Linked DNA regions of Rhinolophus ferrumequinum. The protein of the gene in region 1 purifies or fractionates together with the protein of each later gene. This does not show direct contact. Links are inferred from orthologs where the notes say so. Each region holds a gene or a part of one and is shown on either strand. Other genes may lie near its edges. The genes, in order: TNRC6A and AGO3.

What was found.
Region 2: the proteins of TNRC6A (region 1) and AGO3 purify together in Homo sapiens (affinity purification with mass spectrometry; 7 studies listed by BioGRID and IntAct, with this or other methods). This does not show direct contact. The link is inferred for Rhinolophus ferrumequinum from reciprocal best matches to the Homo sapiens genes TNRC6A and AGO3.

Annotation. Positions count from the first base shown.
Region 1 is NW_022680357.1:18,041,895-18,051,116, forward strand, and holds the start of TNRC6A (trinucleotide repeat-containing gene 6A protein), read left to right. Parts: upstream 1-4,667; 5' UTR 4,668-4,913; intron 4,914-9,222.
Region 2 is NC_046292.1:24,944,687-24,953,686, forward strand, and holds the start of AGO3 (protein argonaute-3), read left to right. Parts: upstream 1-5,300; 5' UTR 5,301-5,658; coding exon of another isoform or gene 5,659-5,662; coding exon 5,663-5,681; intron 5,682-9,000.

The DNA.
Region 1 (9,222 bases):
CCAGAGAGGACACCCCACTCTTCAGAAGGGGACGGAGCAGGTGCCGTATAAGAAACCGGCTACACGAACGTGGAGTCCAGCGGGCTCCATTCACTTACAGACAAACTTCCTCACCCGTTTCCAGCACAGCACCTGCCTACAGCCATTCCTGACTTCTCCGGGGAGCTTGTAAAAATGCTGACGACTGTGTGGACGCCACCCCGAGATTCTGGTTACTGCATCTGGGGGTGGCCCTTTACAACCTCCCAAGGGGACTCAGGAGGCAGCCACGGCTGGGCGCCACAGTCTGATTGACCAGAGGCGGCCTCCATTCTGCCAGAATGAGCTGCTTTGTCCCCGGCCTGTGGCCATGACCACAATTCCGCTTCCTGTAGGACCTGCCACCTGCACATTGATTCCTTCTGGGCCTTGGGGTTAGGATAACCTGGCTTTGGGCTTCTGATTTCTGCTCTGCTAGGTCAGTTGCCACTTGGCCATAGGACATGTCATCTTCCAAAATGCTGCTGCTGTCGTTTCCTCTGCCCGTCTCCTCGTTCTTGTTTGCTCATGCCTTTTCCCTCGTTCTTATCCCTGTAATACGCTTGTTTAACTGGAATCCCTCCACCCTGCCCTCTATCCACAAGAGTGTTGTTAAAATGTCAGCTGGGGCTTGCCACGTCTTCCACGATCAGTGAACATTGGGCCTGGAGAATGTCAGCATTTTCCCCACTATTCTGTAAATTTCTGGGCTGCTTATGTTTTCAAGGCCATTCTAGGTTTGTGACTTCTGGCTCCTGGGTCAGCCTAAGTTCGCTCTTAGATCAGGAAACTTTCCTTCCATCATTTCCTTATTTCTTCTCATCTTCCTCCACCTATTTCATTCTCTCTTCTGGTAACTTTGTAGGGTGTGGATAAGGGATTTGTCTTCCACATACCTTTTCCATAAGCTTTTTGTTTTTTTAAGAAAAGTCATTTTTTTATCTGTTTCCTCTTTCTATTGGAAGAAGTCACCATTTATATTCCCTAATTCAGTCATCCGCGTGTGCAGCCTGCCATCCACTTTCTCCTTTATGTGTCTTTAATCCCAAAACCACACTTGTCATGTCCATTCTGTCCTCCTTTGCTGCTCATTTTCTGTGACAACTATGATCAAGTTACATAGAACCCATGTCAGTCTTGCTGAGAACATGAAATAGACATCAATTCTAACTTTCAGTTGTTGTCTGTGAAGAATTAATTTATTTCTGAAGGAGGACGCAACTGTGAGTCTCCACATAATTGTCGTTTGCTTTTTGAATTACAGCTTTTTTTTTCATTTATTCACCCATATAGAGGGAGAGTTATTTGTCTTTTTTTTTTAAACCAAAAAATTTCTGTCTTTTAATTGTGTCTTGTCTTTTTCTTCTCCTTTTACTTTTTCTTCTTCTCCTTCTTCCTTTTCTTTACGTAACATCTATTTGTGCTCTGCTGGTTTCATTTTAATTCAGTTCAAAGTTCTTTCTAATTTCCTTTTTGCTTCTTTCGTGGATTATTTAGGAATATGTTATTTCGTTTCCAAATATTTGGGGTTTTTCAGACTTATTTCTGTTTTTGATTTCCAATTTCATTTCACTTTGATCAGAGAATATACTTTGCATGATTTTAATCCATTTAAGTTTATTGAGATTTGCTTTATGACTAAGATTATCCTGGTAGACGTCTGTATGCATTGGAAGAGAATGTGGATCCTGCTGTTAGGTGCAACATCCTATAAAAGTCAATTAGGTGAAGTTGGTTAAAATGTTGTATTCAAGTCTTCCACACCCTCACTTGTTTTCAATCTCGTTGTTCTATTAAGTATTGAAAGAGGGATGTTGAAATATCTGCCTTTAATGGTGGATTTGTCTGTTTCTTCTTACTGTTCTGTGACTTCTGTTTCCTGTATTTTGAAGCTGTCTTATTTGGTGAATGAATGTTTAGGATTGCTATTGATCCTTTGTTATTATGAAATCCCCCCCTTTGTCCCTTGTAGTAATTAATAGTAGACATCTCTCCATGGCTGGTAGCAGCAGAGCCGTTCCAGCTTTATTGTGACCAATGTGAGCGTGGGATAGCTTTTTCCATCCACTTCTTTCTCAGCTATTTGTATTTTCTGTTTAAAATGGGTTTCTTTTAGCATGCAGTTGGTTCAATCTGACAATCTCTGTTTTTAAATGGAGTGTTTAGACCATTTACATTGAATGTGATTATTGATGTAGATAGATTAAAATCATGTTCTTTGTTCCCCCTTTTCCTTTTTTATCTGTTTTCTTTTAGATGAAATTAATATTTGTATGATTTTATTTCATCTTCTCTGTTGGCATATGAACTAGGGCTCAATTGTGTTATTTTAGTGGTGGCTTTGGGGTTAATAGTCACCATCCAACTGTTTTATTATATGAAATGTATAGGGTCTACTCCTGGTCCTTGTTCTGTCTCTTAGTGCTTTCTGTGTTATAACTGGTGTTTTATAATTTTGGATTATGAGCTCATCTGCAATAGGAACTTAATCTGTGGAAATTCTGTGAGGCCTGGGTCTAGGGAGTTTGCCTCTGGGTCAGTTTTATGTCTGCCTCGCCAAGGCTCCATTCTTTACGTGTTATTTCTTATTGTCGGTATTCCTGGGTCATAAAAGTAGTATATATTCAAATATCAAAGGCACATGAGGATGGGCCTTGGTTATTAATTGTCAGAGGAGTCCTTTTTTCCTTGACCCAGACTTTAGGTCGAATCACAGCGGCTTCTGTGTTTCCTTGGATGTAAAGGTAAACTTTTTTCTGTTCCACTTTTTCACTGAGGATACAGCACTTGAAGAGCTGTCGTTGCTGTAGAGATTTCAGCCACAGCTCCCCGGGCATGAGACTGTGTCTCCGACACCTGCTGAGGTCCCATCCTGTGGCTTCCAGGTTCCCAGCAAGCACCAGTCCCTCAGGTTGATAACAGTGTTAACACACGTGCTTAGCTCTCCGTTCTCTATTTCTTCTGCCCATTTAGAGAGCTCAGCTATGCACTTAAACGAATGTCTGATATATTTCACCCAGAGGCTCTCCACAGTTATCTGGTCCTCCAGATTGTCAGGAACAGGACTTTCCAGCTTGCTTCTCGGCCCACTATCTGCAGACGTCCACCTCCACAGCTCCAGTGACGCTGCCCCTCCAGCAGCTGTCAGGTTCCTGGGATGCTGCTTCCGCAAGGATGCGTCCAGCACAAGTGGTAACAGACCCGACTAGAGTGGCTTCAGCCACAAAGATGCTTAATTTTCCTGGGACAGGTGGACCCAGGGGCGGGCCGCTGGGTCTGCCAGGGACCCCTTGTCTGCTATGATTGCATAGGACGGTATAGAACAAAACTGGTTTGGAAAAGGCCCTTTTTCCTCTCAGAGGCCCTTTTCACTGCTGCCTGCACGTGAGCCTCCTTTGCTCAAACAGACCCCCAAATTGCAGAGTGACAATTATACGATCTCCTCCTCAGGAAAGTGGTCTGCACAGTTTGTTTACTAGTTTGAGAGAGTATCAGAGCTTAGACTCAACCCCAGGGTGGACAGTGACGGAAGAAAAATCTTTCATTTGACTTACTTTAAATCACCCAGATGCGTTTATTTGGAAGTGACTGGATTAAGTGTCTCATATTTGGCAGAATGGGGGCAGAGGGGCTGGATGTAGGAAGTTTGGCTCAAGACGAAGAAGGGTTTACATTTTTGCCTGCCTGAGTTAGTATCTGACTGTCAAATTTGCATCTGCTACGTCTGTTTACGTTTCTGTTGCTTCTAACAGACAGCGCAGTGCCTCAAGGTCAGACGTCTTGCTGTGTGCATTTCTTTAACATTTCTTTAACACCTCATTCCTCCCTCTCTCCTTCCTGGTGCCTGGGACCAGCCCTGCAACACAGCAGGCGGCTCTACAGGACATCTGGTTAGTAAGAGATGGAATGAATGAATGAACGGGAGGAAACAAGCCCAGTAGATTTTTAAACCACATCTATTTAACTGTATCCTGATTGAGCAGAGAAACTAGAAATGCAGAGAGAGAGAGAGAGAGAGAGAGGGAGAGGAAGAGAGAGAGAGAGGGAGAGCTGCAGACAGAGCAGAGCTACGATAGCTAGAAACAGCCTCATCAGAGCCAGCGGGGCCCCACCTGACTCCTACTGCAGATGCAAAAAAAAAGAAGAAGGGACTGGACGGTTCGGGGGAGCGGTGCCCCGTGTCCCGCAGCTGCTCAGCCCCCACAGCCGCCCACTCCCACTGCTCAGGCGGCTTGGAAGTGGTGGGGGTAAGGGGTGGGGGCGGGGTGGGGAGCAGCCAGAGTCAGGCTTTCCAGAACGAGGCGGAATGGTGTGAGCTCAAACGCCCTGCAGTTGCTGGGCCCGCGGTGGCGAGACTTGGGTTATTCACAAAGGCTGGGAATCGGATGGGGCTGGCACTGCTCCAAGTCGCAGAAGCTGGGGGGAGGGGGAGACGCAGCAGAGCGATTACCCAGATCTTAGCGTTGCAGGGGCTCCAGGGGTCTCCATCTGCATCCGTCCCTCTACCACTGCGTTTTGGGGGTAGGGGGCCCCCTCCAGAAACACTTTATCTGTCAGCTTGTGAGCTGGAGGTGGGGGCGGGGGCCGAAGTTAGGCAGACTCGTCTCGTCACGTGACGGGGGACCTGTATCACGTGATGAGTCCGGTGATGGTGGAGGCAGCATGTGACTCGGGGCTACGTGGGCTCGAAAACAATTTAAACACAAACACACCAGCAGGTCCCCCTCCTGTCCGCTGCCTCTCGGCCTGGCTCTCCCCACCTCGGGGCTGGAGCCCGGCTGGATGGAAGTCCCGTCGTCCCGCGCCCGCTAGCCTGTGAGCACCGCGTCCCTGGAGCTGCAGGGAGCGTCCCGGAGCCGTGCCCGTCATTCTGCAGCCCGCGGACTCCCAGGCTGGTAAGTGACCGCACGCTGAGCGGGGAGCGGTGACGCTGCGTACAGGGCACCCCGGCGGGGCCCTGCCCGGGGCCAGGGCGGCCCGGCCCCTCCGCGCTGCCGGGCTCCTGCGCCCGCGCGGCCGTGGCCCGCGCGGCCCCCCCACGCATCTCGCTGAGGTCTCCCCTGCCCTCACCGTCTCCCTCTCCACCCCACGTCTTGTTTCTCTCTTTTTCGTCGGCCCCACTTTCCCTCTCTCCTCTCTCACTGCTTTTCTGACGAGGTCCTCTCCCCTTCGTCTCTTACATTTATTTTCTTGGACACCTAGGTCTTCATGTTCTTTCCATCCAGAACCTGCAAGGACAGCTTCTGAGCACTTGGGGACTGAAGCTGTGCCAGCTGCCCCTCGTGAAACGTTTCTCGCGCGGAGACCGCGGAGATGGCCCAGTGCCCGTGGTGCTCGCGCACGCACGTGTTCAGGCTGATTGACACATTTTGTGGCGCCGTCAGATGTGTTTCTTGGGTGGATGTTCGTGGGCTCCAGATCCAGCTGAGCTAGGGGACCAGGAGGGGCAGTTACAGCTGTTGGGGGACGCTGCTCCCTGACCCCGGATGTGGACTCCCCACGGGAGAACGCAGGAGGCAGCAGCCGCGCTCAGTGCTTGCAGGCTCCTGGGCCGCGTGTCACAGAGCTGGCTCAGAGTTCGGGGCCACACGTTGGCAGGACGAGGCAGAGCGGTGGCCGAGGCGCATGCGATCACGGCAGTGTCCACAGCCACGCAGCAAGCACTTTGTTGGCTGCAGAAGCCTCTGATTCACTGTTGTCCAGATATGCTGCCTTCACTCGGCAAGAAATAATTAACAATTACTGAGCACAAGGCACCCAACAGCTCAAGGGGGGGGAGGTAGGTGCTATTTTTACCCCCTTGTTAGAGGTGGGGAGACTGAGGCATGAAGCAGGTCACTAGCTAGTAAGGGGTGGAGCTCAGGCAGCTCTTATCCAGAGCCTGCACAGCTGACCACGAAGAAGACCTGCCTCAAAAACTTTCGACTGCCCGGCTATGTGACAGTTAGCGTGCAAACGTTGGGCTGCCTCTATGAGCAAAGCAGACACGGTGTCCTTGCCAAGTTCATGGTGCCGTAGAGAAGGCAGCTCAGAAACACGCCATCACCCAGGCAGGGTGGTATTTCAAACGGGGGTATTGGCCACAGAGGAAATAGTAGGGTGCCACGAGGATATAGAACTGGACACATACTTCTGTGGGGGCCCAAGGTGGCCAGCTGGCCAAAGGAGCCCCCTCTGCTCATGTCATATTTAAGTTGTGACCTGAGAGTCCGCCAGGTGAAGAGCCGGGAAGAATAGTCCGGACAGAGGGAATGGCATGTGTGAGGGCCGTGAGGGCCGAACTGGGGCCAGCTGAGTCCCAGGGCTGAGCACATCAGATTCTGTGGGTCTCTGTAGGTCTTACTAAGTGACTTGCTTGGGTCTCACCGTAGGATCAGTGAGCAATGATGAAAGCATTTTAACTAGGGAAGTAGCACAACCACACCTGCAACATGAGACGACTTCTAGAGGTGTATACGTTCATTTTGGCGATATTGCAAACCACCCCAAACGTAGGGGCTGGACACCGCAGACACCGATAGCTCGTTATGCTGGCAGCTGGCAGTCAGGACGGTCCTTCTTCTTCTTTACCCCGACTGGGTTCCCTCCTGTGCCTCTGGCTGCAGGGGGGTGGTCTTAGGTGGTCTCACTCATGTGTCTCCTGATTAGCAGGTGCAATTGAAATTGCCCGGGCCACGTGTCTCCCTATGGAGCCAGCCAGCTCAGTCTTCTTCATATGGTGGCTGGGTTCCAAAAGTGGCAAGAGAGGGGGTGCCCCAATGCACAAGCACGTTTCAAGCAGCTGCTTCCATCGTTTGCTAGTGTCCCATTGGCCTAGACAAGTCACATGATCGAGGGATGGCGAGATACACCTCTCGACCAGGGAGCTACAAAATATTGTATCTATTTGTTCCCAGCCTACTGTGAATTCAAAATGGGGAGCTGGCTCCAGTCTTCCTCTCTTATGGGAGGAGCTGAAAGCCAGGAGAAAGCCTGGAGCCGATTTTGCTGTGATTGGAGATGAACTTAGACTTGGCCGTATGTCAGACTGTTTTCTGCTTAGAACACGTGGGAGCCTGAGCACCGGTTTTGGACAGGGATCAGGAGGGTGTCAGGAATGTGGTGTAGAAGTGTCCCTTCTCTTCTCTCAGGGTCACCTGGGCCTGACGTGGAGTCCAGGAAGACTTGTGCGATTGTTACCCTGGGATGAAATTTGGGCCACATGGACCTCGGAGTGTGTTGAAGGGTCCCAGACGAGGCGAGAGCACGTGCAAAGACTCCGAGGGAAGGAGGTAGATGGCTTGTTTGGGACCTAGGAGGCACTTTCGCTTATGTGCGTATAGTGGGGATGGAATGGGAGTGGACAGACTCGAAACCTGTTTTAAGAGGTAGAAGTAACAAGCCAAGCCGATGGAGCTGAAGAAAAGGGACAGAGGCAAGGTTAGTGATAGGATTTCCTAAGGAGTTGATTAGAACATTCTTTGGGTGATGGTGTCGGGACGAGAGCAGGAAAAACCTCAAGCATCCTATCCACTGGGTCACATGTTGCTGAGACACTGAGAACATTGAAGGCAGAAAAGTGTCTGTCTGACTTGGCAATGTGGAGGTAGCTGAAGGCTTTGATACGAGCGATTCTGGTGAGGTGGTGAGGATGGAAACCCGGTGGGAGTGGGTTCAGGAGTGAAGGAGGGTAAATAAACTGTGACCGGAATAACGGAAACCAGGCAGTGTTTGGGGACGGGTCGGGGCCAGGGCAACTGTCTGCTTGTACATTTGCCGTAAAACAAAACAATAACAGGAGCCTTTTGATTGTGTAAACTATTGGAGCAGTCGGTCGAAAGGGACAGAGCGAATGGCATCCAGCGTGTGTGAGTGGTCGGTGATGACAGACTTTTACTTTTTATAGGAGGGAATAATGAGAAAAAAGGTCGCGCTGATCCATGAAAGCTTGTAGATTCGGTGTTGAAAGGATGAAGCATTTCCTGTCAGCATTTGTTTTCACAATAATGCATGAGGCGAGGTCATTAGCAGAGAAAGATAGGAGGAGGGAAGAAGAGAGTATCTGGGAGAGGGAGAAACAAGCGCCGTCAAGAAAGGAGGAGGGCTGCTGGACAGAGAACAGAGAGCACGCGATGGGTGGTTTTCTCCCGTGTCGTCCAAGTGCTTGGGCTCGAGCCCCTGGAGTTGGTAGCATCTGTTGGGCGGGAGTTTTACTGCACAAATTCCACTGAAGACCAGAGGGCGAGGGTGCTGGTCTGGGCGACAAGGACGTGCTTGTCAAGCCACAGACTGGAAGCAGAAGGTTGCCAGGATGGGCCGCGGAGAACGAATGCATGGTCGGCTCGGTGGGCGGAGGTTATGATGAGGTGAACCTGTGATCTCAGCATCCCCTGGCGGCTGGCTAGACATGCAGACACTCAGGCTTGGCCCCAGGCCTGCCGGAGCCGAATCTGCACTTTAACCAGGTCCCCAGGTGCTGGGTAAGAAACGAAAGCCCCGGAAGCAGTGATCAAGGTGGTCTGGTGGGAAACAAGAGGTGCTATTTGAGTGGGGTGAGAAGGGAATGAAACCCAAGTGTTCCTTTCCAAACAGATCTTCATTTAGCAAAACTTCCTTTATTGTTTGCCCTGGTTTTTATTTTGTTTTAATGTTTCACGTGCAAAATTTCAAACATATTGAAATGTCGTGAAGGCCAGCATGCCATCGTTTGTTCCGGTAATTTTCAACTCCTGACCAATCTCTGTTTCTTGACACCGTCCCTCCCACTAGGGATTCCTTCGAATTAAATCTTAGACTGATTTCGTTTCATCTGTAGACACTGAAAGGCAAGGGTCCCCCTTTTAAACATAACCACTGCACCATTGCTGCTTCCCAATAAAATGAAGAACAAATCCTTATGACCACCTGGTACCCAGCTAATGTTCACATATTTGCAGTTGTCATGCTGTTTCATTTGTCATTTGTTTGTTTGAATGGGATCCGAACAAGCTCCCAGCCTGGCAGTTGGTTAACGTGTCTCTTCCGTCTTTTGTGATTTCCAGGCTCCTCCTTTGTCTCCTTTTTGCCCCTTTGACATTTTGTATTGAAGAAAGAAGGTGCTCTGTCCTCTGCATTGTCCCAAAGTAGGCTTTGGTGACGGCTTGCTCAGGGTGGCATTTAATATGTTCCTCTCCCCCTGATATGCTCTGTAAACTGGCGACTACACCTCAAAAGAATTGCTTTGGA
Region 2 (9,000 bases), on another chromosome or scaffold:
TTCCTCCTGTCCTCAGGAGATACTTGTAAAAGAATAAAATAAACAAACCTATTTTTGTTCCTAACCAGTGTCATAGATGGTGTTCCAGTGCACTCGATAGCACTTAGCAGCTTGCTCTCTTTATTTTCGTGTCTTGTTTCCCCCCTGAGCCTGTGAGCTCCTGGGAACAGAAACTACATCCTATCCATTTTTGCCATCTTAGGTCCCATAGCATGTATTTGTGAATATAATTGAAATGAGCTAGAAATCTGTAGTTCATGCATACAGGGGGTTGGGGGCGGGGAATCAAAAGGTGATATTGAGTGCATAGGATGGACTCAGCATTTCTGAATCTTCAGGTAAGCAGAATCTTAACCATATTACCATCATTTCTCACTTTCACCCCAACTTGGAAGTTCTATGGCTTTTGTACCTTAAGCTGATGGTACAGTTGTCAAGCATGTAAGTTGTGGCATTCCTCCCTGCTAGTGCTAGCGTTGTTGTTCTATGGGAAGATTGCTCAGAGGAGGATTCTGGCACAGGGCCCAGTGAGAAATTTTCAGTGGCAGCTATTATGTACATAAGTGGGCCCTAACATTCCCCTGGAGGCCAAGTGTTGTGACTCTTCAAATTGCAGAGCTAACCTGTGGCTACCACCTGACAAATTCCCTTGGGAGCAAGCCAGCCAGACTGCATGCTCCTTTTTAGAAGTGAGGGTGAGTGGGCTTGGTTGTACTTTAAATGCAAATTGGAACATGGGGGAGATTTTTCCCAATTGAAATAAGACTTAAAATAAATTTATGACCCTTAGTAAAGCAGAAGTAGTTAGCAGAGCAAGGAGGAGGATGATCATTACGGCCCTTTTTTTCTTTTGCCATACATTTCAATTTTATTAATGATTGATGTTAAAAAAGGTTTCACGATTTGCCTGTTGGTTGCTGCTCAAGAGAAAAAGATGATGGGAGCCCAAGGCCTGATTTGTCTGGTCCTGGAGCCTAAGGTATTAAGTTAAGGGTTGTCCTAGCACCCTGGATATCCCTTTGCAGTATTGGTGGGGCAGCCTTCCCTCTGCCCTGTCATTCAGCAACATGTATTGTAGCACGTTTTTATCTAGCAAGTGGCTTGGAGCAGAGTGAGAGTGGGTATTTGTTGGATATCTCTTGGCTTAGCAGACCCCGAATCTCGTGGCAGTTAGGGTTTGAGGGCTAAAGGAAAGGGTTACAGTACAAAGAGAAGACTATTTTCAAGTTCTGAGTCTGGGCAATTTCCAGACTGTTGCATGTACTGTTTGAATGGCAAGTCGCATTGAATTGTCGCAAATAGCTCTCCCTGTTTCTAGCTTTCAAGACATTTATTCCTCTGGCTATCAGCTGAGGAAACCTGGCAAGCTTAGAAATGCAGAGCATGAGAGAGGCACTCCTGTAAAGCAGCTATGTCAAGGAGTAGCTGGAAAAGTGGACTTGCTGGGGACAAGGTACATTTTAGAAGTTCTTCACTTGAGCACCATGACTATCTTCCCCAGGATGCCATATCGAGGTTTTTTAGGCCAGCGTGGCTTGCCCTGCAGGAACACATTGTCCTCTGCTCTGGACTGCAGCAGCTTCACCACTATCTTCTTGGCGGTGTCCTTTTGGGACAGAAATCTGAGGGACCTTTCTAAGGAGCCCTCCATCCCTCGTCCCCACCTATTGAAGGCAAGTAACTTTCTTAAAGGAGGCAGTAGGAGATCCCAGCCAGTTTTTTTGAAAAAGCTTATGGATTGTTAATGGAAGTGAACTGAAAAAGGAGGCTTGGGAACTTTGAAGTATTTGGCTAGGTGTTTTGTACAGTATCTGTTTATCTTATTTAATTGCATCAGCACAGCATTCATGTGGAGTGATTTATCAATTACCTTCAGTTGCATATAACAAAACTCCCATTAAGTTGGCTTAAATAAGGAAACTAGTACATGACAAGATGTCCGGATTTAATATGGCCCCAAGGTTGATTAATTCAGTGGCTCAATGATAAAACCAACAAACCAGGTTCTTGCAGTCTTTTTGTTCTGCTATCCTCTATGTTGGTTTACCCTCATGCTAGTTCACCTAAGGGTCCCAGATGGCTTCCATAATTCCAGGAAGGAAATGCGGACAAAACAGTGTCTTGCAGAAGAGGGACTAAGTTTTTCCAATGTTTCATGTAAAGTAAGAAAATCCTTGGAAGCCCCAGCTGATCTGGCATAATGTCTCATTTGCTAGAACTGGGTCATCTTCCCACTCCTGTCATTGGCAAAGCAAATAAGATCATCCATCATGAGTGGCTTAATTAGGAGTTACCTCTAACTTGTGTGGCTTAGAAAGAAAGGCAAATCATGTCTGTTAGACAAGAAAGAAGGGCTGTTGGGTAGGTATCCAGCAGTGTCTGCTCTACTCAAGTCCTCTGGTTTTTACAGAGGAGGAATATGAGGCTCAGAGTGACTTTCCTAGGATCACAGATAGTAGCAGAGGGCCTGCAGTCTCAGCTCTGAGTGTCCCTAAAGCCAGTATGTTTTATACTGTGTCCTGCTGCAGTACAAAGTACAGCAGACCCTTGAACAACACAGGTTTGAACTTTGTAGGTCCACTTATGTGCGGATTTTTTTCAATACATATACAGTCGGCCCTGTGTATCCCCCCAGGTTTTACGTCCGTGGATCCAACCAGCTGTGGACCAAAAACAGTATTTTCAGTCCCTGGTTCAGAGTCCATGGATGTGGAAAGCACACTACATGTTCTACACCATTTTATATAAGGGACTTGCGCATCCTTGGATTTTGGTGTCCACAGGGTCCTGGAGCCAATCACTCCAGGTCCTGAAGGATATCTCTAGTTAAGTTTTTGAGGAGCTAAAAGTCATACATAGGTTCTCAACTCCCTGGGAGTCAGCACCCCTAACCTCCGTGTTGTTCAGGGGTCAACTCTAGCTTTCTGCTGTTTAAAAACTGGTCTAGGAGAAGAGATTTGAACCCAAGTGTCAAGTCCACTACAGCTCATGGGAGAGGAGAGGATTCTCTCCAGTTGTTCTCATCCAGAAATGATGTGTGTAGCACAGAAAGCCTAGGGATGCACCTTTCAGCAAGCATTGATTTCCTTTCCCCTGAGATTTCTCTATTTTGTAGTTCTCCCTTCTGAGAGCAACCAGTGCCACGTCAGATGAGGGCAGAGTTTTAGCCTGCTTCCTGAGCCCCATTCTTGAAGCCCACTCATTTATTCATGCATCCCACAAGTATTTACAGAATGTCGATATGTGCCAGGCACTGGCACTGTTGTAGGCACGGGCTATGACAGTTAACAAGATGCACAATGGCACTGTTCTATGCCCTTAAGAACAGACTCCTTTGGGAATGAGGGTATTCAAAACTAGTGTGTGCACGTGGTCAGGGGAAAGCCTCATACAACTTTGCTTTTGGCAGAATCATTCAAACGTTTTTTGCCTTCCCACTTCCTGATACTATAATTCATGAACCTTTCACTTGGGCCTGTTCTGAAGAGGTGGGGGTCCCTGGATAGCAGAAGTAGGTGGGAAGGCATCATTGACATTTATTAAACTGGATCTAATTAGAAAGTCCAAATCCTGCTTCATCAATGTCAGCAAAGAAGACAGTGGCCCACCTCCAGGGTTCATCACCGTCAACATGTTTATTCTGGGAGATGCCGAAGAAGCCTGCAGTCACTTGAGGAACCAGTTCTAGAATTGGGGGTTGAAGGTGTGCTAGACCTTTGCACAACAGTTGGTATTTACCCTGTCAGATGCTGCTATAGATTTGGATTTGTCTAGTCAAGGATTGAAAATAACTTTGAAGATACAGTGTTTCATCTGGTGACATTTAATTTGATATTTTAAAATTGGGGAGGGCATTTTCAGTAAATGGGTTATGGATGGGAAGGAAAAAGAGAGAAAGAAGTGGTATCAGATGTGGGTTTGAATCCCACCCATTTATGAAGTGTTTACAGTATGTGTATCTAGTAAGTGCTTTAAAATGGTAAATACAGTAAATACTTTTTTATTCACTAACATTTAGGGAGGGTTTTCTGTGCTTTATGCACATTCCCTAATCTCACAACTACTATAAGGTACATATTCTCTCCAGTTTTCAGAAGAGGAACCTGAAGCCAGGAGGCTCAAGTGATTGATCCAAAGTCCCAGTGATTGAAGGGGGGGGAAGGGGATGATTTAAGATAGGATACTTTCTCTCCTTTTCCTCTTTGTCCCAGCTTTTAAAAAAAGAATGTACTTTGATTTTTTAAAGTCTAAACAACATTACTACTGATGGTTAGGAACATAGGGAAAAGTCATGAATCATTCAGCCTGAGTAAAATAGTATCACCTTTCATTAAAGGAAACAAATATTAAGGACCTACTATTTGCCAGTTAATGTGCTTGTCCTAGTAACCTAATCTTACATACTATTGGTAGAGGGGGCACACAATAAACTAGTAAAAACAAATTACAGATTAGAACAGGATTATTAAGGAAATACTGTAATAGAAAAACGGGTGCCCTCCCATAGCCGAAAAAGCCTAAGTCTTAAATTGAGGTGTAAAAAGGAGGGGCGGGGTGGAGAGAAAGAAGAGGGTTCCTTGCCGAGGGAACTGAAAGCTGAGAGACTCCCAATAGCAAAAAGAAGCGCTTTGCCCGTTGGGGGAGTTAGACCAGCATAGCTGTAGCATAGTGAAGTCTTGCTTGAAGAGAAAAGCTGGGCCCCCGTCACACAGTGCGTTTGGGCCCTGGAGAGGAGTTTGGGTCTTAGTGTGACGAGACACTATTAAAGAGTTTTAAACATGGAAATTATTCGATCTGATGTTTGTGTAATGTCCTGGTTCTTAATCTTCTCCCAAGCTAAATTGTACATTTTACCCCCCAAATCGTCGTCAAAGAAACCCTGCGGACTTGGAGTGATCCACTGTAGTGGTTACTTGACCAACTAGTTGAGGAGGAGGCGCGTGGGGTCGCCCCAACTGGGCGTGGAGGGAGAGGCTCGGGAAGGAGGGTGGCCCTGCACCTTGACCAGCCTCGCTCCAGGTAGCTCCTCCCCAGGTAAGCGACACCGCCCTCCGCGACGTCGCAGGCAGGCAGGGCTCCGCACCAGGGTGGCCCGAGGAGCCCAGCCCCGCCGGGTCGTCTCCAGCCGGCACAGCCCAGCGGAGGCTCCGCCCCGCCCCGCTGCGCGTGCCCCAAGCTCCGCCCACGCTAGTCGCCCTCTCCCCACACCTCCCCTGCGTCCCCCGCGCCGGCCGCGTCCGCACCGACGTCGCGCCCGCACGGCTTGGGACGGAGAGGCGAGGCTTGGACGTCCGGCGAGCCGGGGCAGCGGAACTGACGCCAGCGGGCTTCCGGGGACGGCCCCGGGGGAGGTCGGCCGCGGCGCCGCAGTCGTGGAGGGGCAGCCCGAGCGTCAGCGGCCGCGGGCGACGCAAGTTCCGCACCGCGCTCCCCTCTCCTCGCCTCACGCTTCTCCTTCCTCTCGCCTAGTGGCGTGCTGCCTCCCGACGGCGGCTCTTCCTGACGAGAGCTTTCGGAGCGCGCTCGCTGAGAGGAAGCGGTCGCCACCCCGCCTCGGGGCCGAGTGAGAGTGCCTGTCGCGCCGCGTCGCCCCCTTCGCCGCCTCCTTGCCCCCCAGTGGCGGGCGCCCTTCTCGCTGGAAGCACTCCCCCCAGCTCCATGAATGGAAATCGGCTCCGCAGGTGAGTGTGTCCCATGCTGGCCCGGTCGGTGGGGGTGTCCCCAGAGCATCGTCGCTCCCTCAGCCTCGGCCCCGTCGCGCGAGGTGAGCGCCGTCCGGGCGGCTCCCCCTCGCCGACCCCCGCTCGGCCCCTCCTCCGCCTTCCCGCAGCCCCGCCGCAGTTCCCGGGAGCCACTGAATTGGCGACCCGGCGGGGAGGGGACACTGCTGAGAGGATTGAAGTTTGGGGTTCTCTAGTCGATAGTGCTCTTCTTTTCCTGGGGTCTAGAAGGGTTTGCCATCGCTTTTGTTATTCCGGTTGGAGGTGTAACGGTGTGCGTGTCCTTTTAACTGGGTTGTGTGTCCCGTAGAGGCGCTGGGCAGGTAGCTCTCTCCCTTTCTTACCTCTGAAGGTAGTTGTGAAGATAACTGTGAGATAACAGATGAGGATTAAGTTTGAAATAGGTTTTAGTGCAACGTCAAATGCAAGATGACATTTCTCCCATCCCCGAGTTCTCTTCTGATGTTTGTAGCAGCGTGTTATGTAGTTCCTGAGGATCTTGGAAATGTCATATCAGCCTGGATCTCTGCTTATGTGAGGAGGTGGATCTTAAAATTGCTGACAGTATATTCTTTCATTCTCTATTCCCTAGAGGTTCGGTTGTCATATTCCTGGAAATTTGGAATGAAGAAAACTTTCTCTCCTTGTAAAAGGGTAGCCTTGAGAAAAAAATCGCAACTTGGACAGTACTTATTTGAAAGGAAAAAGAGCACTATGGTTCTAAAGTAATTAATTGAGGGACATAAAGTAGATGTTACATAACGGCTTGTTTTCCAAAGGAGCATTCATACTTGGTGTGTTAAATTTGAAAGTATGTTTCATCCAGTCACAGATTTATAAATTAATTTTCAAAATATTGGTGGTGGTGGTGGGCGTATTGTGACTAATGGTATCCCAAGTCCCTGAATTTCACATCATAGTTTGCTAGTTTGGGAGATATCTGAATATGAGATAAGAAAAACTTATGTAAAAGAAACCAGTGACATAATGATAAAGAATTTGTTAATTAGGTTAAGGAGTATAATTTTCAAGTAGATGCAGAAGCACTCAAATTATAGAGGTTGCGACAGGGTGAGAGGTTTATTACAAGTTTTATTATATGGAATTTTTAACTTTCTACTATACTCTTTACGGAATGTGATGATTTGGGGTTATAGGTGATTTTTATATAACTGTCCTGTTGTCAAGCCTGGAAAACAAAACATGAAAGTTAAACACTTTATTAATCATTCTAAAACTTTTAAAGATATGTCAAAAAAAAATTTTGAAGCTTTTTTTCCTTTGTCTTCTTTGGTTTTTTTACATGAAATTATGCCCAAATATATAGACATCTTAGAAAATTCTTCCGAAGTCAAACCACCTAACCAACTGATCCAGCTAGCCAAGTATGATTCAGTAAACGCTCCTGTGAATTCTTGAGCTAAGAATTGGACATCTTGAAATGCAGTTTATTATTCAGTGTAGTTTATACATAAGTGACTCTAATCTAATAAGGAAGATAAAGTACAATTTAGCTCAAGTTTGTCATCATTAAAAACAAAGTTTTCGTTTTTCCTGAAACTTATATGCAATTGTTAAATTACACATGAAATTGAAAGCATTGTTGGGAAAAATGTGCAACTAAGTTTTAAATAAAGAATTTGACAAGTACATACTCTGGTTTAAAAATTTTAGATGTAAATGTTCTCTACTAGGCTATTAAGTCAGTGTTGGATCTTGGCTCTCCAATTCTGTTCCAAGTTTTTCTTTTGTGTGGAGATTCTTAGAAATCATCTTATGACAGGATATTTTAAAATCTAGTCCTTAGGTGGATACATAGAAAACTTAAATTTATTTATATTAGAGGACTTTGAATACAAATACTGTAGTTTCTTGGTGAATCATCCCTCACTAAAAGTTATTTATCTGTTCTTCCCTTTTGCATGAAATATTTTAAGTGATTTTTAAGGGTGTCCTGTTCAATCTACTGATCTAGTGCTGTGTGAACTTTGATTTAACCCAAAAAGCTGCCACAATTGGTTTGTAAATAATAACAGTGTAGCATCTGTGCTTATGACTCCTTAGAGGAACTTCTGCTGAAACCCTATTTTTTATGGTTTAATTACAGCTGGGCTAAAAGTATATGTTATGTTTTAGTTCCAAATAGAGCGGGAATAGAGGAAGCAGAAATGTTCATTGAGATATCACTTCTCCAGAGTAGCTATTTTTTAGGACCTTAACTATTCTAGTCTGTATTTTTAGGTAAAGTCAGACTACTGTTTAGGGCAGACAGAATTGTACCTACCTTCCAATGGAAGAAAAACATTTACCTTACATTACTGTGCAAATAGATTTGACAGGTTTGGTAGTTGTCTTATACAATGTTGCAAAAGTGAATAGACTATGTTTCTGTCTTAGTTATACTTTGTGTTTGGATACTCTGCATTCTTGAACAATAAATATCAAGAAAAGTCATTTGAGAACAAGTTCCAAAAGAACAAAAATTTCATGTATGGAAGCTAGATTTAAATGAGGTAGAAAAAAGTGGGTTCAAAATACTAAAACAAATATAAGGCCATTAGGTTCTCAGTTGAATACTTAAACAATCTTTAATCACTTTGGAGAATGTTTTTATGATATAAATTTTTTCACTTGCATTTTTTTTGTCTTGGAAAAAAAAGTCAAACTGCTGCTCTGTCTGGAGGGCATTAATTTTGAACATGGAAAATGTTTTTCTACTTGGTTGTCACTTAAATTTTAGCTTGTGCTGCTTTGGAGTGGCCATTACATTATTTCCCCTAGTATTTGCTGCTTTTGCCTGGCAGTGGGACTTATAAAAATGTGCAAAATTATTTTGATTTTTGTTTTAGAATTTAATCTCTCTGACAGTGATGGAATACCCTGAGGGAAAATGAAAAAGGAAGCAAGAAATAACTTGTTTCTTCTAAACAGACTTAAAAGGAAAAAAAGAACATACATGTAACCCTCAAATATAATTCAGTTAACACCATGAAGACTTTTAAAAATTATCCATGATTCCATCACGCTGATATGACCACTTTTAAAATCTTTAAACCAAATTCCAAACTAATAAATCTATTACTTTAAAAAAATTTAAGAAATTAAGTAATTTAGGGGTTAGAATGAATGAAATGATTTCTAAATACTACTTCCTTTTGCTGTTTTGGAGAATTTTATGTATAAGTTGGTATTTTAGAATTAATTTCTGTTCATTTTTATTTTCCATTGTATTTGTTTGATTCTATAAGCCTACCCTGATGGTATATGCAAAGAGGCCTGG